Tribolium castaneum: one gene and its partners. Each later gene encodes a partner of the first gene's protein in a complex. Links are inferred from orthologs where the notes say so. Each region holds a gene or a part of one and is shown on either strand. Other genes may lie near its edges.

What was found.
Region 2: l(3)76BDm (region 1) and trafficking protein particle complex subunit 12 share a complex: the UniProt entries of both Homo sapiens proteins name them as parts of the multisubunit TRAPP (transport protein particle) complex. The link is inferred for Tribolium castaneum from reciprocal best matches to the Homo sapiens genes TRAPPC8 and TRAPPC12.
Region 3: l(3)76BDm (region 1) and brun share a complex: the UniProt entries of both Homo sapiens proteins name them as parts of the multisubunit TRAPP (transport protein particle) complex. The link is inferred for Tribolium castaneum from reciprocal best matches to the Homo sapiens genes TRAPPC8 and TRAPPC9.
Region 4: l(3)76BDm (region 1) and gry share a complex: the UniProt entries of both Homo sapiens proteins name them as parts of the multisubunit TRAPP (transport protein particle) complex. The link is inferred for Tribolium castaneum from reciprocal best matches to the Homo sapiens genes TRAPPC8 and TRAPPC11.

Annotation. Positions count from the first base shown.
Region 1 is NC_087403.1:6,196,531-6,201,652, reverse strand, and holds the start of l(3)76BDm (trafficking protein particle complex subunit 8), read left to right. Parts: upstream 1-1,932; 5' UTR 1,933-2,103; coding exon 2,104-2,260; intron 2,261-2,310; coding exon 2,311-2,761; intron 2,762-2,809; coding exon 2,810-3,089; intron 3,090-3,134; coding exon 3,135-3,412; intron 3,413-3,457; coding exon 3,458-3,706; intron 3,707-4,915; coding exon 4,916-5,122. Other genes in the region: imd (protein immune deficiency), read left to right, coding at 1-211, 258-401; deoxynucleoside kinase, read right to left, coding at 783-1,039, 1,084-1,202, 1,254-1,387, 1,444-1,635. UniProt on the Homo sapiens protein: Plays a role in endoplasmic reticulum to Golgi apparatus trafficking at a very early stage. Maintains together with TBC1D14 the cycling pool of ATG9 required for initiation of autophagy. Involved in collagen secretion.
Region 2 is NC_087396.1:17,553,481-17,558,684, reverse strand, and holds the start of trafficking protein particle complex subunit 12, read left to right. Parts: upstream 1-1,635; 5' UTR 1,636-1,773; coding exon 1,774-2,073; intron 2,074-2,119; coding exon 2,120-2,296; intron 2,297-2,345; coding exon 2,346-2,684; intron 2,685-2,730; coding exon 2,731-3,065; intron 3,066-3,110; coding exon 3,111-3,342; intron 3,343-4,805; coding exon 4,806-5,051; 3' UTR 5,052-5,204. Other genes in the region: Dlc90F (dynein light chain Tctex-type), read left to right, coding at 12-374. UniProt on the Homo sapiens protein: Component of the TRAPP complex, which is involved in endoplasmic reticulum to Golgi apparatus trafficking at a very early stage.
Region 3 is NC_087399.1:3,381,545-3,386,861, forward strand, and holds the start of brun (protein brunelleschi), read left to right. Parts: upstream 1-1,713; 5' UTR 1,714-1,865; intron 1,866-1,910; 5' UTR 1,911-1,942; coding exon 1,943-3,056; intron 3,057-3,102; coding exon 3,103-3,599; intron 3,600-3,642; coding exon 3,643-3,883; intron 3,884-3,929; coding exon 3,930-4,914; intron 4,915-4,963; coding exon 4,964-5,295; intron 5,296-5,317. Other genes in the region: ATP-dependent DNA helicase PIF1, read left to right, coding at 1-603, 681-1,205. UniProt on the Homo sapiens protein: Functions as an activator of NF-kappa-B through increased phosphorylation of the IKK complex. May function in neuronal cells differentiation. May play a role in vesicular transport from endoplasmic reticulum to Golgi.
Region 4 is NC_087395.1:23,290,617-23,295,285, reverse strand, and holds part of gry (trafficking protein particle complex subunit 11), read right to left. Parts: intron 3,513-4,669; coding exon 3,342-3,512; intron 3,293-3,341; coding exon 3,159-3,292; intron 3,109-3,158; coding exon 2,901-3,108; intron 2,859-2,900; coding exon 2,656-2,858; intron 2,607-2,655; coding exon 2,417-2,606; intron 85-2,416; coding exon 1-84. UniProt on the Homo sapiens protein: Involved in endoplasmic reticulum to Golgi apparatus trafficking at a very early stage.

The DNA of each region.
Region 1 (5,122 bases):
ATCAGAGACTCAAAGCCAACAACAACACTACATTGTCACAGAGGCCATCAGAGGCTTGTTCCACAGTGACGTGCCCGTTGATCGAAAAGACTTAATTTTTCTGTCCCCTCATATAAACGAACACTGGAGGACCATGGCAAGGGCGCTGGATTTCTCAGACGGACAAGTCAGCCAATTTTACGAAGACTACATCAGGTCTGGAGTTAAAGAAGTAGGTTCCTTGTTTTGCCAATCAAATACTAATTGACTCAATCCAGGTGATTTACCAGCTCTTACTGGACTGGATACAAAACGAAGCCGATTGTGCCACTGTTGGAAAACTCTCAAAAGTGTTGTGGGACACAAACCAGCAAGACGCCGTTCAAAGGTGGTCTGAGTATGTTATCAAAAATAAATCGTAGTTTTTGGTGCTTTTTATTGTTAGTTCAGTAATAATGGTTCTATTCTTCCAACCGCAATGTTTCTTATCATTGTTTATTTATTGTTATGGAAAGTTTTTCGTGACTTTTTATCATTCCGCATAAAAATTGTAATTTGAATCGTGTGATATCTTCAGGCCAGTGGCACTGGTTTAAATGGCGTAATCATGTGGCTAATTTTTCAAGTATTAAGCCATATATTTGTACTTTGTTAGAAATAAATCGTTTAAATCGCAATATTTTATTTAAAATTACAAAACCTAAGCTAATGAATACACACGTCCCTGAAATGTAATGTGCAGCGGCCTTTGAGGCCGGGAAATTAGATACCTAATTTGTGAATTAAAAAATACTAATAGTGAATTAAAGCGCAACTTTTAGTTCTCTCTCTGTGAAAATTTGTGCTTTGCACTTGGAGTATTCCTCCATGATACCTGATTTGTCCAAATTGGCGTCAATAATCAGGACAGGGGCCGGGCACTCAAATCTTTTCTGAAGCAACCACTCCTCATGCAAGTTGTGTATATCTTGGAAGTATTCAAGGGGCACATACTGCTCCTCAGGTCTGTTGCGTGCCAACATGCGCTGGTACGCCGTTTCTGGGGTCGTTTTCAAGTAAACTAAAATGGGGACTTACACAATGTCTCAATTTTTTCAAACTTACCAATAAGGTCAACCGATAAGTCGCAATTTTCTTTGGCCCATTTGAACCACTCGTCCATCACCGACACCGAGGCACGCTCAATGGACCCATTCCTGGCCATTTGCTCCACAAAGCAATGTCTAAATCAGTGAAATAATTACATAAAAAAACAACGCGAGAGTAATAACTACCTAGCACTGTAAATTGATCGTTCCATTAGTTTAATTGGGTGTCCCGTTTTCATGGTATGATGCTGCAGAATAGTCAACTGGACGTAAGATTGAAACGTAAAACTCCATTTTTTTGGGTCAGAGTACATTTTATCCTAATAAAACGCCAAGACTTTAAAATTTTAAAACCCCAATGAAAGGTGGTACTTACAAGTAAGTTGTACCCATTGCAGTTTCGCCACTTATTCACAGGTTCCGCGAGTACATTAACATCGTCGAATTGTTGGAAATAGTTTAAAAAAGTGGTTTTGCCACAGCCGATGTTACCCTCCACGATGACGGTGTAGGGGCGTAGGCTCGCAAATTGCTTCAAGGGGGAGCGTTTCAAGTAATCGGTGTTCATTTTGCCACGTTACACGACAAACAACGCAGTAAAAAGGCTAGGAGTAATGTTAAGGGCGGATAACAACCGGCATTACGTTTGTTTATCCACTTTCCCGCCTATTTCGAGCTAGGGGTTTTCGGTTTAGTCAGTTTAGTTGGCACCTGACATGCGCCAAAAATTTAAATTGGGGACAATTTTGCTGATTATTTTCATAAATTAGGCAACAATTACTTAGAATTCAAACGTTTAATCATTTCGTTAGTTGTCCGGTAATCGGTGTGACCCCAAAAAATGGTTTCTTTTTTATCGTCACCTGTCACACCTGTCAAACAGCTGATTTGCAGCTGATTGTAGTGTTGTTAATTTTCCGATTAACGCAAAACAGCCTTAAATGATTAGAAATCGGGTGTGTGACTAAATTTAAAATCAACCAAAGTACATTGTAGAGTTAATCGATGACTTGACAAAATTTTTAACCTCACACTCATGGCTCAGTGCAAGCAGACTCCGCAAGAATTTATAAAAAACGCCTTCACACCCCAAATTGCTGTTTTGTGCACCCCTCTCGCTGAAGGTTCTTGTCAGAAAAATAATTTGAATTTCATTGAGCTGCTCCAACCCTTTTCCAAATTGAGCAATGACGGTGGTTGCGTTCAAGTTTGGGAAAAAACCTCCCTAATTGATGTTTTTCAGTGCATTACAAAGATCCGGCCGGCACGGTTATAACAATAAGGAACCTCAAATTAACGTTTTTGGACGTGAATTCCCGACCTCCCCAAACCACTTTAGCTAGGAAATTTTTAAACTCTTCAGTGAGTGAATTGTCAGACTTCCGGACTGAGAATTTCACCACCAGCGATCACACCTTGAACATTACTTTAACAACGCCGTGGTTTGAGGCTTGGAGAGATACGTTTTTACGAGTTCAGTATCCCTCTGATCATGAATATACAAAGCATTTTTTATCGTGTGTTTTGGTTGTTTCTTCAGCTGAAATCAATGTCATTGAAAGTATTATTCAGCTGTCTCAGAGTCTGAATCAAATGCAGAATAACGCCCCTGGAAAGTTACCCAAGTGGTTTAGCTCAAATGTTTTAAAATACTATGTGATCATCCATGACAATGTTGAAGGAAATATTGATGTGTAAGTAATAATTTTTGTCATATAATTGTGAACAAATAGATTTTTTAGCGCAAATGAGGCGTACGAGTCAGTTAAAGGGTCATACGGGGAGGCGAATTGTTTTCTTTTGAGGATGAATTCACGGCCCCCAGGTGCCGCAAACACCGAGCATTTGCCGGACCCTTGGAGCCAATTCATTAGCTGTAATATTGAGTCCAGAGACTACAATCCAACCCCTGAGAGCTCACCCTACACTTCACGGGCGATTTTTGATACCAGTCAAGACTCTGATACAAAAACCAACTTAAATTACCACCCACTGAGCCCTGACACTGAGGATTTAATAATGGTAACACTTTTTGTGACCAAATACATTACTAAAATAAAAAATTAGAGCACTTCGGCAACTGAAAAAGACAAAACCGTATCAAACAACTCCAAATTAAAATCGCACGGTCTCTGCCTGTCGACTGAAGACGTCGAACAGGTGAAATTATTTTTACACGAGTTTACCAAAACCTGTCTGCTGCCTTACATCGAGAAACAAATCCACCAACTAAGCGACGTAATTTCGAACAAAAAAGGCGTCAGCAGGTCATTGTTCAGTGCGACAAAACGCTGGTTCAACCCCAATAAACCGGGCGCCAGTTCGGTTGCAGTGAATAATCTTATGTAAGTTTTATCTCCAAATATTTTTTTTCTGATGTGGGGTTTTAGCTACGCGCCTGATTCACCCGAATTGCAAGTGCGGCGACTTGGAGATCTTTATTTCATGTTTGGACATTATCTACTAGCGTTTCAAGCATATCATTTAGCTAAAAGGGACTACAACACGGATCAGGCCTGGCTGTACTACGCTGGGGCGCTCGAAATGGCCGCCTTGGCGGCTTTTATGGCGAATGAGTCGAGCAGAAAGACCTACGATTACATGGAGGAGAGCATAACCACTTACATGAACACCTGCAAGTAGGTTTCCCGTTTTGTTGCTGAATTTTCAGTCGTATTTTGCTAAATATACCGCCTTTGAAGTGCGCAACTTGAAGCTAAACAAGCACCAAATTCTATGACGTCTACAATTTTTCGTTATTTTTTTAGTGCTTGAAATGTTGTCTCATTGGAGATAAAAAAAATGCACCTACCTTTATGGCGTCTTCTTCTGCTACAGTTTATAGCAAGACATTGAAATTATAAAAAATACAAATAAAAACAAAATAAGTACAAGATACTAATACCACATATTCAACATCTCACTTGGGATAAAGAAAATGTACTTACCTTTATGGCATCTTCTTCTGCTACTGTTTGTAGCAAGACATTAAAAATAAATATAATTCAATATAATAAATATATATGAAAATAAAATCATTACCATTTATCAACATCTTACTTGGAGATTGACAATAAAATTAAAATGCACGACAACACCAAGTAACAAACTGAATAAAATTAAACGCCGCAACAATAATTGTGTAAACTAATAAAATACTAATAAAAACACTATCTGTGATATAAGATATAACTAATTTGCAGGCGGGAAACAAAGACGTTTGTTTGATTTAGTGATTTTTGTTACGACTTCGTCACTTAATTTTTTTGGGGGAAAATATACAAATATACAGGGGATGAGTTTTTAATGTCCAATCGCTGAAACTTATTTTATGAGCAAATAATTTGGCAAAATTTTTAAGTATACCTAACTTCGTTATTCTAATAAATACACAATTAATACAAAACCAGTTTTTAGGGAGAATTTAATAACATAGCCCTTAATTTTTCTCAATCCTTTGTTTAAGTGTAATAAGGCAAAAGTTTTTTATCATGTTCTTTTTCTTTAAATATTTTTCTATGTTTCAATTCCAGATTAACAATGTTCTAGTATATTTGTTAACGCATCTTTACAAAAACTTAATATGTAATAGTAGAAATAAATGAGCAAAGAATGAAATATACTGTATGTTCCGAATTTTCTGGACTGCGCAAAAATATATAAAATGGCAGCGAATGTAATACACCCTATTCATTCATATGTTTGTTTAGCTTTGAGTAACTTTCGGGTGACAACAATCTAATTTGAAATGTTTTTGTAGAGACGTTGAATTGGTAATTACATGGCACTTGACTGTATAATAATTCCGTTTGTTCTATCTTTTGACAGATTTTTTAATTCCGGTTTAGGATGCCTCAGTTTGCGACCCGAGCGACACTTTTAAGCTCCGAGTGTCTGAAAAGTAGGGGTTTGTTCGGCGAAGCGGCCCATCAATTGATACGAATGACGAGTGAAGAGTCGGATTTGAGATCGGCTCTTTTTCTGGAACAGGCCGCTTATTGTTTCCTGCATTCGAAAATGGTCAGAAAGTACGCCTTTCATATGGTTTTGGCCGG
Region 2 (5,204 bases), on another chromosome or scaffold:
ATTTTAGTATCATGGAGAAAACGAATCAAGAAGTGTTGGACCAAGATCTGCAAGAGGAGGGCCAGTTCGTGGTCGACGATGTGAGTAAGATCATTAAAGACGCGATAGAAACTGTGATAGGAGGCAACGCATATTCCCAAAATAAAGTCAATGACTGGACGACTTCGGTCGTGGAATGTTGCACATCAGAATTGACGAAATTGATGAAACCATACAAGTACATCGTGACCTGTACCATAATGCAGAAGAACGGGGCCGGTTTGCACACCGCTAGTTCGTGCTATTGGGATAATAACACGGATGGGAGCTGCACCGTGCGTTGGGAGAACAAGACCATGTTCTGCATTGTATCAGTATATGGATTAGCTATTTAAATATTTCAACAAGTAATTACAGTCATGGATTTGCCTTTCAAGAATAATTTATCGTATTTATAAGTTTCTACTTGATAGTGATTGTTACGTATTAATAAAGTCATTTTTTTATTTGGATTTTGTCATATTATTTACATTTGAAACTACAGTTGTTAGCTGTTTCAAAAATATAAAAACGCCAACGTCGCATTCTCTCTCAAAATTAGCTGTTATATTATTCATGCATTTCAAAAAAATAACAGCTTTGTTCGCGGTAGCGATCCTGAACTAGTTCCAGCTCTAGTACGCTGAATCCCGGATCGGTTCAGAATTAGTCCCAACGATCCTGGGACTCGACGAAGGATTTTTAGTTCTAGACGTGCGCAGTTGAAAGCGGTTTTGTCTCTGTTACTCTCATGTCTTTGAATATTTTTGAGATTGGAATCAATATAAATAAACTGTCTGTTTTGATTACCGGAATTTAGTTAATACTTTACTAAATCGTAATTATTTGTATATAAAATAATGTTTGTAAATTTGAAAATGGGTTGTTTTCTACAATTTATACCTTTTCGTTTTAGGTTTTTCGAATAACTCATTTCTAACTTTGTTCAAATTTTTGTAGCTTGTTAGTTTTTAAACATTTGTTGTGTACTTGACAACGATAAATTATCGTTTGCGGTTGACTAAAATCCATAACTGGTTCAGAACCGCACATGCGCTGTAAATAAATCCTGGACTACTTCAGAATTAGTTCTAAAAATCCTCCGCGAACAAAGCTAATAAATAGCTAATACAATTTCTTCTTTCAATGAGAGATCTTAGCATTCATAACTATTTTACAGTTTTATCAGTCTTATGTAAAAAGATAATTCGGTAAAATGTGACGTTGCTTTTTAATTAAGCTGTATAAAAATGTAAAATAGTTATTAAAGATTAGATCCCTCATTGAAACTACGGACTGTTTATAAAAGAGTGTTGGCTCTCAGGTGGTTCTGTAATTTAAATTTGCCGCATTTAATTATTTTATTACTATCAAATTTCTGAAAAGTACCAGTAAAACTAACATTGTTCGTTTTTTCTTGAACAAAACGGCAAACTTCTGAAACCTACTACGATCCTACATTCATTTATAGACAGATTGTATAAATTACATTAGCTATTAATTTTTTGAAGGGCATGAATAATTTAGAACAGTTAATTTCGAGGGAAAATGCGACGTTGGTGTTAATAATAGAAATAGAAATTCGCGCCATAAACCCATTTCAAGTTTTTCTACGATTGGCTACAGTGGATGTCAATGTCACTAATAAAAAAGTCACTCGCAAATGTCAATAAACGAACGTAAACAGACTTTCGTCGTATTTATTTATTATAAGTTCGTGTAAAGATCGAGGTATTTAGTGAATAATTGCTAGACATGTCGGAAAGCGTGCCCCCGTCCTTGAGTCAATACTTCGGCGAAAAAACCGACGATAAAGTAAAGACAATAGACCTATCCGAAGAACTAAATGAAGCTTCCACAAAAATAACCGATCTTAAACTAGATGACAATCTCCCAAGTGCTAAGAAAAACGAACCAGAAGTGTGTCGAATATTCGCCGAAACGCCACCACAAGCCAAAGATCAGACGACGTCATTCTTCGATTTAATTGGAAACAACCACAGCGTTACCTCCAACGGCTTGATATCAAACCTCGACATAACGCCAAACAACGACGTGAGTGACCTAATTGTGTGTTCCACAGTTTGGTAAATTTTTCTAGGACGGTTTTTGCCCCAGAGTGGCACTAGGCTCGGAAGCAGACCGCAGGAGAGATGCCTGGATACCTAGCGAGAGGACCAGACAATGTCTCATTGCGTGCGCCACGGCAGCCCCCGGTACGTATTTTCCAGACAGGGAGCTCCTCACCATGCCTGGGGTCCTGCTAGAAGAGGATTTGGTATGTTTGCTAAATAGTCAAAGGGGGAAAATTAAACTTATTTAAAAAGGGGGACAATATCGGGGAAGCAGTCACCTTGTGTCTTGGGGAGGCCGAAGCCGCGCAACGAAGTATCTTGTCCGAAAGCGACGTAACGCAGGACGAAAGGGGACTGAGAGAGTTAGTACAAGCGGGTTCATACCGAGCCGCAATTAATTTAACTGCGAGACTTTTAACCATTTACGGCCAGGGTCGGGGCCGCGCGGGCCATCCTAGCAAACATTCGCCCCATTCGTTACAGCTGTGGTTCACTCGTATCGCCCTTCTAGTCAAAATCAAAGCCTTTGCAGTTGCTCAATCGGAAGCTGCCCCTTTTGGTCAGCTCGACAAGCCGGACGTTTTCTACCAGGTCTCTAGCCACAAATCACCTTCGACCACTTACCGCAATTTTACAGTTTTACCCCGAGATGTATGGGGGCCGTCCAGGCTCCATCGCTTCATTTTCATTTCGTTTACTCTTAAGCGAACTGCCAATGCATTGCGGTAAACCCAAAGACTCGTTAACAAAGCTGTACAGTATGAAGTCCACGATAAAACAAATGTTGGATAACTTGAAACAGGGCTTGAGCGAGGACGGCAGCCCTATCGAAATTAGTGAGTCGGATCGCACCGATTCGATTCGACTTTGGACGGGGCGCGAGACTCGAGTCATGCACTCTATTGTTAATTGTGCCCTGGCCTTGAAAGATTATGAATTGGCAATGGTGATGATGGAAGAGTTGTGTCACAGGTGAAAAATAGGCGAGGGAAGAAAGTTTCTAATGGTGGGTTTAAGGGATGGGACGGCACGTCATATGTTGTATTCGGCGTTAGGAAGGTTGAGACTGCAAGTGGGCGACGTGGCAGGGGCGGAGACTTGTTTTGATGAAGCAAGGGCTTTGAGGGGTAACACGACGGATTTGAGGGAGTATGTGGATCGGGGGTTGCTCGCTGTGGCGCAGAATTCGTTTGATGAGGCCTATGTCTGCTTCCAGCAAGCCAGTCTCCTGGACCCCACAAATGTTATGGTAAAGTTTTTTTTTTGGTCCCTACGTATTAGCGCCAATGGTGTATGTAGATTCACAAAAACAATTCCATGTTATTCCAATTCGTTCCAATTATTTTCAAAAATGTACACCTAATAAAAAAGTATTACTAAGAAAAAAGAAGCGGCCGAATTTCGAGTGGCATTCGAAAAAGTTAGCAATAGACCTGTTATATTTTCAATAGTGAGTTATCTTTAGAGTCAAATAACTCTGAATTTACCTAAACTTAATGCTCGACTTAATATTAGTTAAATAATGACGGTTCTTTGAATTACTACCTTAGGTCTGAGTTACAAAAATTCTAAGTTAACTTAACAGAGGTTATTTCGAAGTTGTTTTTTTTTTGGCTTTAATCTGAAGTTTCTTTTTAACTCGAAATTAACTCGACATTGTCCTACTTTACCTAAGATTCTAATAAACTATGTTACTTAACAAAAAATCATTGAACGTATATTAATAATGTGATAATTATTGTTGAATAAAATTTTTCGAAATTTCTTTTGTTTTCGAGTGATGCAAAATTTTATTTATTTATTTTTTTAATGGTTAAGTTCAGAGTAAAACCTTCGCAAAACACTGGTTTGAAAACATTATTGGATTAAAAGTAATTTTTAATCTTTAACCAAAAAAATCGTCCTACCTTTAAAAACAAATAAATACGGTTTCGCATAACTAGAAAACTAAAAGGAAAATTTTATTCTTTAAAAATTATCCACAATTTTAACAGATTTGGTAGGTGATGATCATATTCTAAATTCTATTTTTTTCCATAAAGTAAATAGTTATAGAAAGTCGATTCAAGCTTTTTTGTCATTTGAAACTTTTCGCCGTATTAGAGGAAATATTGTAGAACGAGTTTTTAGCTGAAAATAGCGTAACTTTCGACCATGGAAGGCCCTTTCGACATGATATTGTAATTTTTTTTTGGGCGTGTTATTAACTTCTTTTAGGGAATTTATGCGAAATAAGTGAGTTTTTTTTTGGCTGAAAAAAGTACTAAAACCCTCGAAAAATTACATTATTATTTATTATTATTTATTATTTCTTCTGTTGTGCAAAATTTAATTTTTACACTTTTGGTTTATAAGTGTGCTCAAGCATTTGGGAACAGCAAAAATAATAATAATTTTATTAAAAGTACTAAGATTTCAAAAAAATGTAGGTGGTGATATGGTTATGCACTAGTGTATTTTTGTTAATATCTTCATGTTAATAATACCCACATTATTTGGTTTTGATAACTTAGATTATTATTTATTTTATCAATAAAAACGAAAACAAAAAACAAAACTTGCTGTGTGAATTTTAACATCAACCGCCTCTGTACACCAGTGTAGTCAGTAGGATTCATTAAAAAATTAAAATTTCCAAAGGCTAGTTTCGCCACATTTTGTGCTTTTCTCATTTAGCATTTAAGGACTTAACCAGCTGTGCTTCCCTTGCAGATCCTCAACAACATGGGGGTGTGCCTCCTCTACGGCGGCCACCTAAAGGAGGCTATTAAGGTGTTAGAAAGTGCCATAGAGTCAAATCCGGTTCACGCCCTCCATGAGTCTTTGCTTTTAAATTTGTGTACCTTGTACGACATGGAGTCGTCGAAAGGCCGTATGAAAAAATTCGCCCTGTTGAGACAAATATCGAGGTATCAGGCAGATGCCCCCACGACGATTCTTGAAAAACTGTATGGATAATTAATTGTGTGGATTTGTTAATAATTGTTTATCTGTGATTCCTCTAAGTTAAATCATTTTCTTTAGCACTAATTTATTTACATTTGTGAAACATTGGCGCAATTAATGAATTTCCATCCGAAATCGTGGCCTAAACGATTTGTTTTTAATATT
Region 3 (5,317 bases), on another chromosome or scaffold:
GCCGGCGAGGCGCCCCTGGAGCGCTCCGTCGAGCTGGCGTCGCGCCCGGGGGCTTACACGGTCTGGCGCAAGTGCAAGCACCTGATCATCGACGAGATTTCGATGGTTGACGGGTCGTATTTCGAGAAAATCGAGGCAATAGCCCGGAAAGTCAGGCGGAATGAGCAGCCTTTCGGCGGGATTCAGTTGATTTTGTGCGGGGATTTTTTCCAATTGCCTCCGGTGGCCAAAGGCAAAACTCCAGTCAAGTTCTGTTTCGAGACGGAGGCCTGGAGTCGGTGCCGATTGTCGGCGTATGAACTGAAAAAAGTCCACCGGCAAAACGACGACGAGTTTATCAAAATCTTGAATTGTGTGCGCATTGGACAAATTCCTGAAGATATGGCGACGAGATTGGCCGAAACGTCGCGACAGAATATCGAAAAGAACGGGATTTTGGCCACGAGGTTGTGCTCGCACACGCTGGAAGCGAACGCGATTAACGAAGCGAAACTTAACGCACTGCCGGGCGAAAAACTCGTCTTTACGTCCGAAGACTCACACCCGCATCTTATCAAGCAGTTGGATCAGCAAACCTCCATCCCGCACACGCTCGAATTGAAGGTTTTTATCCATTATTCACGATTTTTTTGGAAATAATTAACACAGTTTTTTAATATTCAAAGTTTGTTTTTTTGCAGGTCGGTGCGCAGGTGATGCTTTTGAAAAACATAAACATCGCCACGGGGCTCGTGAACGGCGCTCGTGGAGTCGTCAAATCCTTCCAAGAAGGTGTTCCCGTTGTGCAATTCCGTAGCAAAGAATATGTCGCAAAGCCTGAGCGCTGGTGCGTCAAAAGCGCCACCGGTGTTATGCTCACGAGGAAACAGGTGCCCCTTAAACTAGCGTGGGCTTTTTCCATTCACAAGTCCCAAGGTTTGACGTTAGATTGTGTTGAAATGTCGCTAGGAAAGGTGTTTGAAGCCGGTCAAGCTTATGTTGCGTTAAGTAGGGCCCAAAGTTTAGACACGCTGAGGGTTTTAGGGTTTAAGGCCTCGCAAGTCTGGGCCAATAAAAATGTTTTGGATTTTTATCGGTCGTTGAACTTGCAGATGGAGGCCATGAGACTTATTCCCTTGGGGAGGAGAGAGGACAAGGCAGCGGTTAAAAAATCCTACAAACCTAATGCGAAATTGATGAGCAAACCTTTAGTTACTATTAATTAAGTCGCGTATGGAGAATGATATATTTTACATTTAGATTAAGTTTAAAAGTGAGTATTCGATTAATAAAGTATTATGAAACGGTTTTTATTGGCCTGACCTGACCCGACCCTTGCCTTGTTAATTAACCACAATCTAGGCGTTTTTTACGCTTTCAGCTACAGTTAAAAAAATACAGTTTGCGAAATCGGGAAATCTTAAAGAATCTTTAAAAATTCATTAAGGTCCCAAGGGGTTCGGGTGTCCGAACATGATTTTTTTACAGTCGAAGGCCCTATCGGAGGGCTTAATCTCCTGCAAAAACAAAGAAAATTGCAGGATATAAAGGGGGTGAAAAAAATCAGTTTGCATTGCTTGAACATGAGAATAAAAAATGCAGAAATTAAATACAGTCATGTTTTAATTTGTAATAGAAACACATTTGAATGGTCAGGAGATGTTCTACCAATGTGATATGCAAATCAGCGTAACAGCTTATTGATGTTTTTACGATTATTTTGATAATTTTCCTGGTGTGAACTTGGCTGCATAAAACTATCTCTTACTCTCATAGGTTATGTTGATGTCGTGAAGTGTCAAATTGCTGACCCTAAACGTAGTTTAAGTGTAAAAAGAGTGATTTGCGCAAGAACAGGCCCCTCAGAGGCGTAAAGCAATGATCAGGTAATTATTTACGGCCAAAGAGTGCGTTTTATTCGGGGGGCGAAGTTTGAAATGTAGGTGATCCCCAGGCCTCACAAATGCGTTCTTCGGTAAGTTACATCCTTTCGAGTAGTACCAGCGAGCCAAACATGTCTCACCCCGACTACGAACAATACTCCCATGACCACGCTGCTCTCCTGGTGCTCGTACGACACATAGGCTCCCAACTAAAGCCCAAAACATTCCAAAAATTCCACGACCGTATCGCCAAACTCACCTCAGTCCGCATCACCGACTCGACGGGAAACGTCCGCACGATTCTAGTCCGTTATGTGAAGGAACACCCCGTTGAAAACAACGATTGGGGCGACTTCCAAACCCACCGACGACTCTTAGGTCTCGTCTCTCTGGGAAAATACGACTCCCAGCAAGAGCTCAATGAAATATGCCGCGTCCACGAGAGTCTCAAAGTCAAATACACCGGCACGTTATTCGATTCGCGCTGCATTTTGTTCGGCCCCACGAAGGAGGCGAGCAGCTCGCCGGAAGACACCTCGAGCCCCAACACCGACAGCAGCAGCAGCGCCCCCGAGGAGAACATCGAGAAGTTCACAACGCCTAGCAACTTCAAGACACGGGGGCTCTTCTACGACGAGAGCGCCCCGTGTGCTGACCTCGAAACCCAAATAATCGAATTCATCAATTCGCTGTTTTGGGTGCTTGAGTCCAAACGACTCGAACGCTCGCGCGAAAAGCTCGAACGGGTCTCCCTCCTGCTCGCCCCCTTTGAGAAAAAGGACTTCGTGGGGCTCGACATGGAGTCGCGCAACAACAAGAAAAAATGCACAGGCCGGATGACCAAACACTTGGGCGATTTGTGTCTGCAAGCGGGGCTGCTGGCCGAAAGCCTGGTTTATTACGGCAATGCAGCCGAGACGTTGAAGAGTGTCAACGATTGGTTGTGGCTGGGGGCCGCCTATGAGGGTTTGTGTGCCGCTTCTGCTCTAGTTTTGTACCCCGAGATGCAGCGAAGTGTGCAATTGCAACGTAACGCCAGTTTGCAAGAGGGTTCCTCGCCGAAAAAAACAGTAGTCGCGAGTAATCTTGACGTGGGGGCGAAGAAAGCCTCCGTGCCCAACACACTAGCCCCCGAGGATATCTCGAAGAGGTATCGGGAGGCGATTATTCACTACAGCAAGTATCAAAATGCGGGTGAGTTGTGTATAGTTGGTTGCATACCTTGCCAAGTTTCATTTAGGGATAGTCGAGACTGAGGCGAGTTTTAAGGCCGCCCGCATCGCTGTTGAGCAAAACCACTCACTTCAAGCCGCCTCGTTTCTACAAAACGTGGTCTACATCAATTTAACGCTCTCAGAGCAGGAAAAAATCCAGCGTTTTGAGACCTTGGCCGAACTTTATACGCAAATTGGTTTCACGCGTAAAGCCGCCTTCTGCCAACGGCTCGCCGCCACCAGATACGTCTCGCCCCAAAATCCCGCCCCCAATTGGAACCGCTGCTATAACCTCATGCTCCACAGCCTTCCCGGCCATCGCCTATCTTTAGATCCGGCCGAAATGAGGGAGGTTGAACAAGGGTGGCCAATTCTACAAATTCAATTGTTACAAGAACTGGTGGTGGCGGCGAAAAGAATGGGGCATTCGGCGTTGGCGACTCGCCACATGACGTTTTTGTTGCAAACAATGTGGCAGCATTTGACGCCGACTGAGCAGAAAGAACTGGCGATACAGTTACAAGTACGTTTTTTTTAGGGGAATAACATAATCAAGATTATTTTAGGCCTTATCGGCGCAATGTGAAGGGTCACCGGTGCCCTTGGTGTTGGACAGTGGCGTTGTTATACCACCGGCCAACTTGACCAATATTCCACTTTGCCATTCTTTTGTTTTGAGGAACTTGCAGCCCCATTTACAGCCGCGGAAAATACAGGCTGTAAAGCAGGACACGGGGCCGTTTTTGTTCACTCCAATTCATTTTGGGAGTTTGGATCGGAGGAGCACAGCGAGTCAAACTAAAATGGGTAGGGAATTTGATACACACGATTGCTTGATTAAAAAAAATTGTAGCATTTTTGTGGGTGGAGAACGAGCCTTGCGAAGTCACCCTCAAGCTGTCCAACCCCCTGCCCTTCGAGTTGAAGGTTTCGGACATGCGTTTGTTGACATCAGGTGTCGTGTTTGAGTCACTCCCCGAAACTGTGGTTTTATCACCGTCGGGGGCTCCCCCATCTGTTACGACCCTCCATGGCACGCCGCGCGAAAGCGAAGGCCAGCTCCAACTCCAAGGCTACAGCACGCACACCCTTGGCGTCAAATCCAACTGTCGGTTGAGACACATGAACGGGTTTCCACCCCATTACGAGGTCGAAATCGTCCCATCCCTTCCCTTACTCGAGGTGAAAACATCGCTCCCTCAAAGCGCCTCCTTCTCCTCATTCCACGACTACGAAAACGTCGTAACCTCAGCCAGTGTGAGTCTCCACCACGGCGAAAGCGCCGAATGCACAGTCACCATCACAAATATCGGGCATGTTGACGTGGAGATGCTCGAAGTTTCGATGCAGACGGTCCTGGAACCGGCCCTCCAAGAACAGATGTTCACTTGGTCGCAGGAGAACCTCCTAAGTCAATTGCCCCTAAAACCGAATTGTTCGGCTAGTCTGACGTTGTATTTGTACGCCGCTGGGAGTTTTCTCGTCCCGGGAGGCACAGGAAATGAATTCAGCAGTGGCGTTTTCAGTAGCAGTATTTCAGGCCCGGGCTCGTTACCCTCGCGACTGAATTCACCAACTAGTAGCAGTTTTCACAGAAATGTTAATTCGAGCTTTCGGTCCTCGAATTCGGGCCATTCGAGCATGAGCGCCACTTTACAAATCCCCCACTTGCCCATAAACCAGCAAGCATCGTCCGTTGTTGAGGGACAGTTGCAGATACGGTACAGTGGGGGGCCAGGCTTGCAAGCGTCGTATTGTCGGTGTTGTTCGGTTTTTTTGACGATTGAGACGGTGCCCTCGCTGCATGTTACCAACTGGGATGTATTACCGGCTGAGACGTGAGTGACTCCACTTGAATCAGGCCCTTGTTATTTTTTTCTTTTGTAGGAACACTCAGTTTTATTTAGTCTTGGATGTGGCCAACTTGACGTCGCAAGAAATGGAATTACAGTACACCCCGTCCAAGACAATGCTCATAGAAGGGCACGAAAGTTGCAGAGTGCCTGTGCCGGTAAAGCGGTGCCCTTTATCGAAGCTCGAAACCGGGGAAACCCTCGCAACTGGCGAATTGGATCGGATTTGTTCGGAACACATCGCCAATCTTGTCGACTTGAGGTGGCACCTGCTTGGCACCGACACCAGAGGCAAAGCCTCCCTCAAAGGTCTCACCTTGACCAATGATATGCTTGATGAAGTGAGAATGTCGCCGTTATTATGGGGTACATTTTAAATAAAAAATAA
Region 4 (4,669 bases), on another chromosome or scaffold:
GCGGTTTGGGCCGTTTTGCGGACTGAATTTGAGATCCAAATTCGTCTCGCTCGCGTTGCCCATCACTAAATTAATTGCGCCAATCTAGAAATTAAATTAAGTTGGCAACACCCAATGTTGCCAATTCAAATTTGGACTTTGAAGCTTTTTTCCCAAGTAACAATTTAAGTTTTATGATAGTCTGGAAGAGTGCTATAAGAATAGTTTCTAAAACTATTTAGAATGATAGGAAAAATGAAAAAAGGCCCACTCTTCAGGAGGTTGTCAAGTCTAGTCTTTAAAAACTTTATAAAACTAATTTGTTTTTTTTAAATAGTTTTAAAATGGTTTTAAGACATGCTCAAAGTGTCTTATAAAACCTGGTGTTAGAGCATTGGGATTGAAAAGGGTTTTATTGCAGGAATAAAGATAAAAGTTTAGATAACTCGTTTTTAAAATTTATGTTTCAATACTGTTATAAGAAATTATTTCTCGGAGCACAAGACTGTATTTATTTTTACGTATTTATTATATTTGTCTTTTATCCCTTTTAAAAACTATTAAAACACGATATCGAGGTAGAAAATTTAGAAACGACGGCCAGCTTTTGATGGAATTTATTAAGGAACTTGTAAAATTTTAACGCCCTTCATAAATACCGAAAATATACACATTTGTAAAAACATTATTTTATAGATATAAAAAATCTGCGTTAATTCTTTAAACTGATTTTTAAAGTGATAACAACTAAGTTTTACTGCTGAGAAAAGAAAAAAAAACAAAAATTATCACAATTTCTTCAAGGTTTAGAAAGTGCGTATTTTTTAATTTTAACTCTAACAGCAGTAAAATATGACTACTAAACGTATAAAACTATATCTTCTATATAAAATTACTTATAAAAAAATTACTCTCAATAAAAGCCAATAAAAACCACTATAAGACAACTTAGACTACAGATAAAGTGCTTTAATTTAATAAAGACTATAAATATTTAGATAAAACATAAAGTGCCATACAGAACCTTTTTAAAACCATTTAGTTTCAAGATGGTTTTATAAGGTAGTATTTAGTTAAATATTTCCCGACAGAAATTATAACTGTGTTCAACGTAGAGTTGGTTTAATTTTCAATTAAATGCTGAGATAATTAATCCATATTTACTTAATTTTGCAGCCCCTGCCTTATAAAATTTTTTTCTTCAAAAAAAATTGGTTCATTCCGAAAATAAGGAAAAATTCACAAACTCTAAGAAAAGACAATTTTTATTGACAGAGGGACTTTTTTTGTTGTACTCATGTACAACTATTAAAAAATTCTAACATCAAACAAATTCTATAAATGTTCGTGCGTTGGAGCCAGCTAAAGACAAGTCAGTAAATATGTATCTGTTTTTAACTTCATTCTTTCGTCGGTTGATTTTCTCTAGAATTTAGTAAATATTTTTTACTTATTTTCATTAGTCTATTTTTGAATAAAATAGAAATTCCAGTTCTACGAATAGTAAAAGTTCCGTAAAAATGCAAGATAGTTCTGAAAACTAAATTAAAAAAAAAAGTTCTTTGTAATGTCACCAAACATGCATCAGATTGTTTAATGTTTCTTTTACCAAGATATCTATTAAAAAATCACCTTATATTTATTTAAAAAAAAATTATTTCAAAAAAAAAAACGTAGCCATTTTTACAACTTTTTTCTATAATAAAGACATTTTTCTGTGCTGTGTACTAATTAGGTTTTTTCTACAATTACTCATCGTGAATTTTCTACTATAACATGAACTGAAACTAAAAATACACTGCTTCTTAAAACTCATTAACTAAACAATAAATAATTAAAGGTAAAAAAATACGACGAAAACTAAAAATGTGATCAATTTATTTAAAAAAAATGCAACCCATCTTCTACTAGATATTTTTTAAATCAAAATCAAAATATTTTTACCGTCTCAGGCTATAGCCTATTTAGCCGTTAGAGCAACCGTTATTTGCCAGAGAATGCCTTTTAACTAATACACGAAACAACGCAGCTCTCAATACTACAGTGAGTGTGTATGAAGCAAATATGTATTTTCTTACAACAAATTATTTATTTATTTATTTTATTTCATTTATTGACCAAATAAGATTGTCTGAGAATAAAAAGTTTTAAAGACGACTACCACCTGGCAATTATAAGAGTATTATAAAACTTTTGTTAAAACTATCTTAGGAATTATGACCTGACCTGACCTGACCAGTTAAGATTGTCTGGAAGTAAAAAGTTTTAAAGACGACTCCAAGGCAATTACAATTAAATAACTGTGATAAATCTCAAGCTGTATAATGTTAAATTGGTTTTATCATTTAGTTTGTGATCTGTAGGAGCTGTTTTACAGCAACTACCTTCACAAACAGCATTTAAATTGTTACTTGGGCTGGCAAAGTCACCAACTCACTTGGATCTCGCTGTTGACGTCGTTCGAGTCGGGTACAAAATCAATAACGAATCGTTTCGTCTCATCCGAGCCGAACTCCAAAGAATTCGAACTCAAATTCTGATTATCAACGGCATATTCGCAATTATACGACGGAGTATTGATCGTGACTGAGACTTTTGTGAAAGTTAGAGGCAGGGGGCTCGAGCATCTTAAACGAATTTATCAAAATTGTAATTTTTACGTTACAATTCAAGTACTTGATATAGACTTCAACCGTAACGTTTTGATCGACTTCGTATTTCGCTTGCATGAAAGTTGCCTTAGTTTCAATGCAAGTCGAGACATTTCCCAAATCGAGCGAGAGGTGAATCGGCTCGGTTTGCAGCTTTGGCTGCCACTGAATTACGGCGTGTTGTAACACATCGGGGGTTAGTTTCTGGTCCCCGAAAGGAATCTGTCTCTAAATTTTTCGTGGAATCGATACTTTTCGTTGCCTCCTTACCTTCAAAATCCTTTGGAGATTCTCATGGATGCGCTTTTTCTGCTCAACGCTCAGCTTACTGTATTTCCCCAAAATTTCAAGACTCAGTAGGACGTAGTCCTGGACGCTTGCCGTCAAATAAGCGCATCTGATTGCCTTCTCTAAAATATCCGTCAAGAGCAGCCACCAGTTTTCCGCCCGAAAATCCCACAGCATGTGGGTAAGGAGACTAATAATAACTGTGTAAATAGAAATCCGTCACTTATGGCAAATATTTACGTCAATGCTTTGCCGAAATCGTGAGAGTTGTAATATTCCTCGGCCATTTGCAGCACCAAGTGGCGCCTCGTCCGAGGGCATCTGTACGTCTTGTATTGCGAAATGGCCAAGCCATAGAGCGAAACGATTGCGTTCTGTTGAAACAAAAATTGTAAATAATGATCGGGGGATTTTGCCACGTACAGAGTGCGCAAATTGCTTTTCCAAATACTGAATTGCCTGGATTCCGTTCGATTCCAGTTGCGGGTCGGGAGGCTCGGCCGATAATTTTCCGGGCCTCCAGGGCCTCTGCCCGTAAAATTCCATACTGTTTGCCCCTTCTAAGGGGTGCGGTTGGGGCAGCGCTATGATGTTCTACAATTGGAGATTCGTTTATTTTAAGCGAAAATATATGGCTTTTGTAGTCGCTTCCTGCGATTTTATGTACTGATAATATTTACATAAACGATAAACTGTGTCAGTAAATGGAAGTCGTAAGTTTGGTTTTGTATGGTTGCCTCCGGAAGCAAAAATTCAACACGCCCACAAAAACTTCAAATAATAATCAATTACAGTGCGATATATTTTAGTTCAAACAGAGAGTTTCGTTTATTTTTGTAGCAATTCGTTATAAGGCTGATGAGTTATGGAGTTGAAAAAGTGTAAACTGGCGGTTCCTTAAACAATAGAATTTGCATTTTGAGCCGGATTTAAAAAAATCACTACAATATTTTTTATAATTAAAACAAACTTTACATCTTTACGCATTTTTTTTCAATAATTCAAATTCGACGAAAGATTGGTTTTGTACTTTTTTCGAGTGTTTGAGTGCAAAAAACCTTATTTGTTATAATTCTGTCAACTTAGATCCTTCATTTTTTATGCGGGGTTATTCTTTGAAAACGGCAAGGGCTTCACAATTTTTACTTATGGCCCCATTTCAGAAATTAAATGAATTATTTTAATTACTTCACATGTGTGGTGAAAAAATTTTCGGAATATTATCTTTTATTCCCTGCTTTTTGACGAACGTCATTGTGTTATTTGATACCGTACAACTAGAATTTATTAACTTTTATTCATTTTCTTCAAATCTGATAAGTTTTTTAAGCAATATTTTTTTGTACAAGTAGAACTTACCACTCGTATTTGTACCAAAAAACTGTTATCTTCCATTTTATGAAAAGAAAAATGTAGGTTCCAATTTAAAAAATAGCCCAAAATACACTATAATATTTAGAAAAAATGTAAAAGTATTAGATCATACTACATTAGAAGCCACTTCATTATTTTTAATTTTTGAAATCGGAACTATAAATAAAAATTCTACAGCCGATTTTTTAGTCACCCTGTATTAAACAAAAATTAATATAACGAGCAGTGCGAGGTTTTTCGCTTCAAACCTGTCTCATTTATACAAGGTGATTCTGCTAAAAGTACAATATTACTCAAATGTCAAAAACTAATATGTAATTAATTAATCAGTTATCACATAAAAATTAGCATTTTTATTATTATTTTATTATTACTTT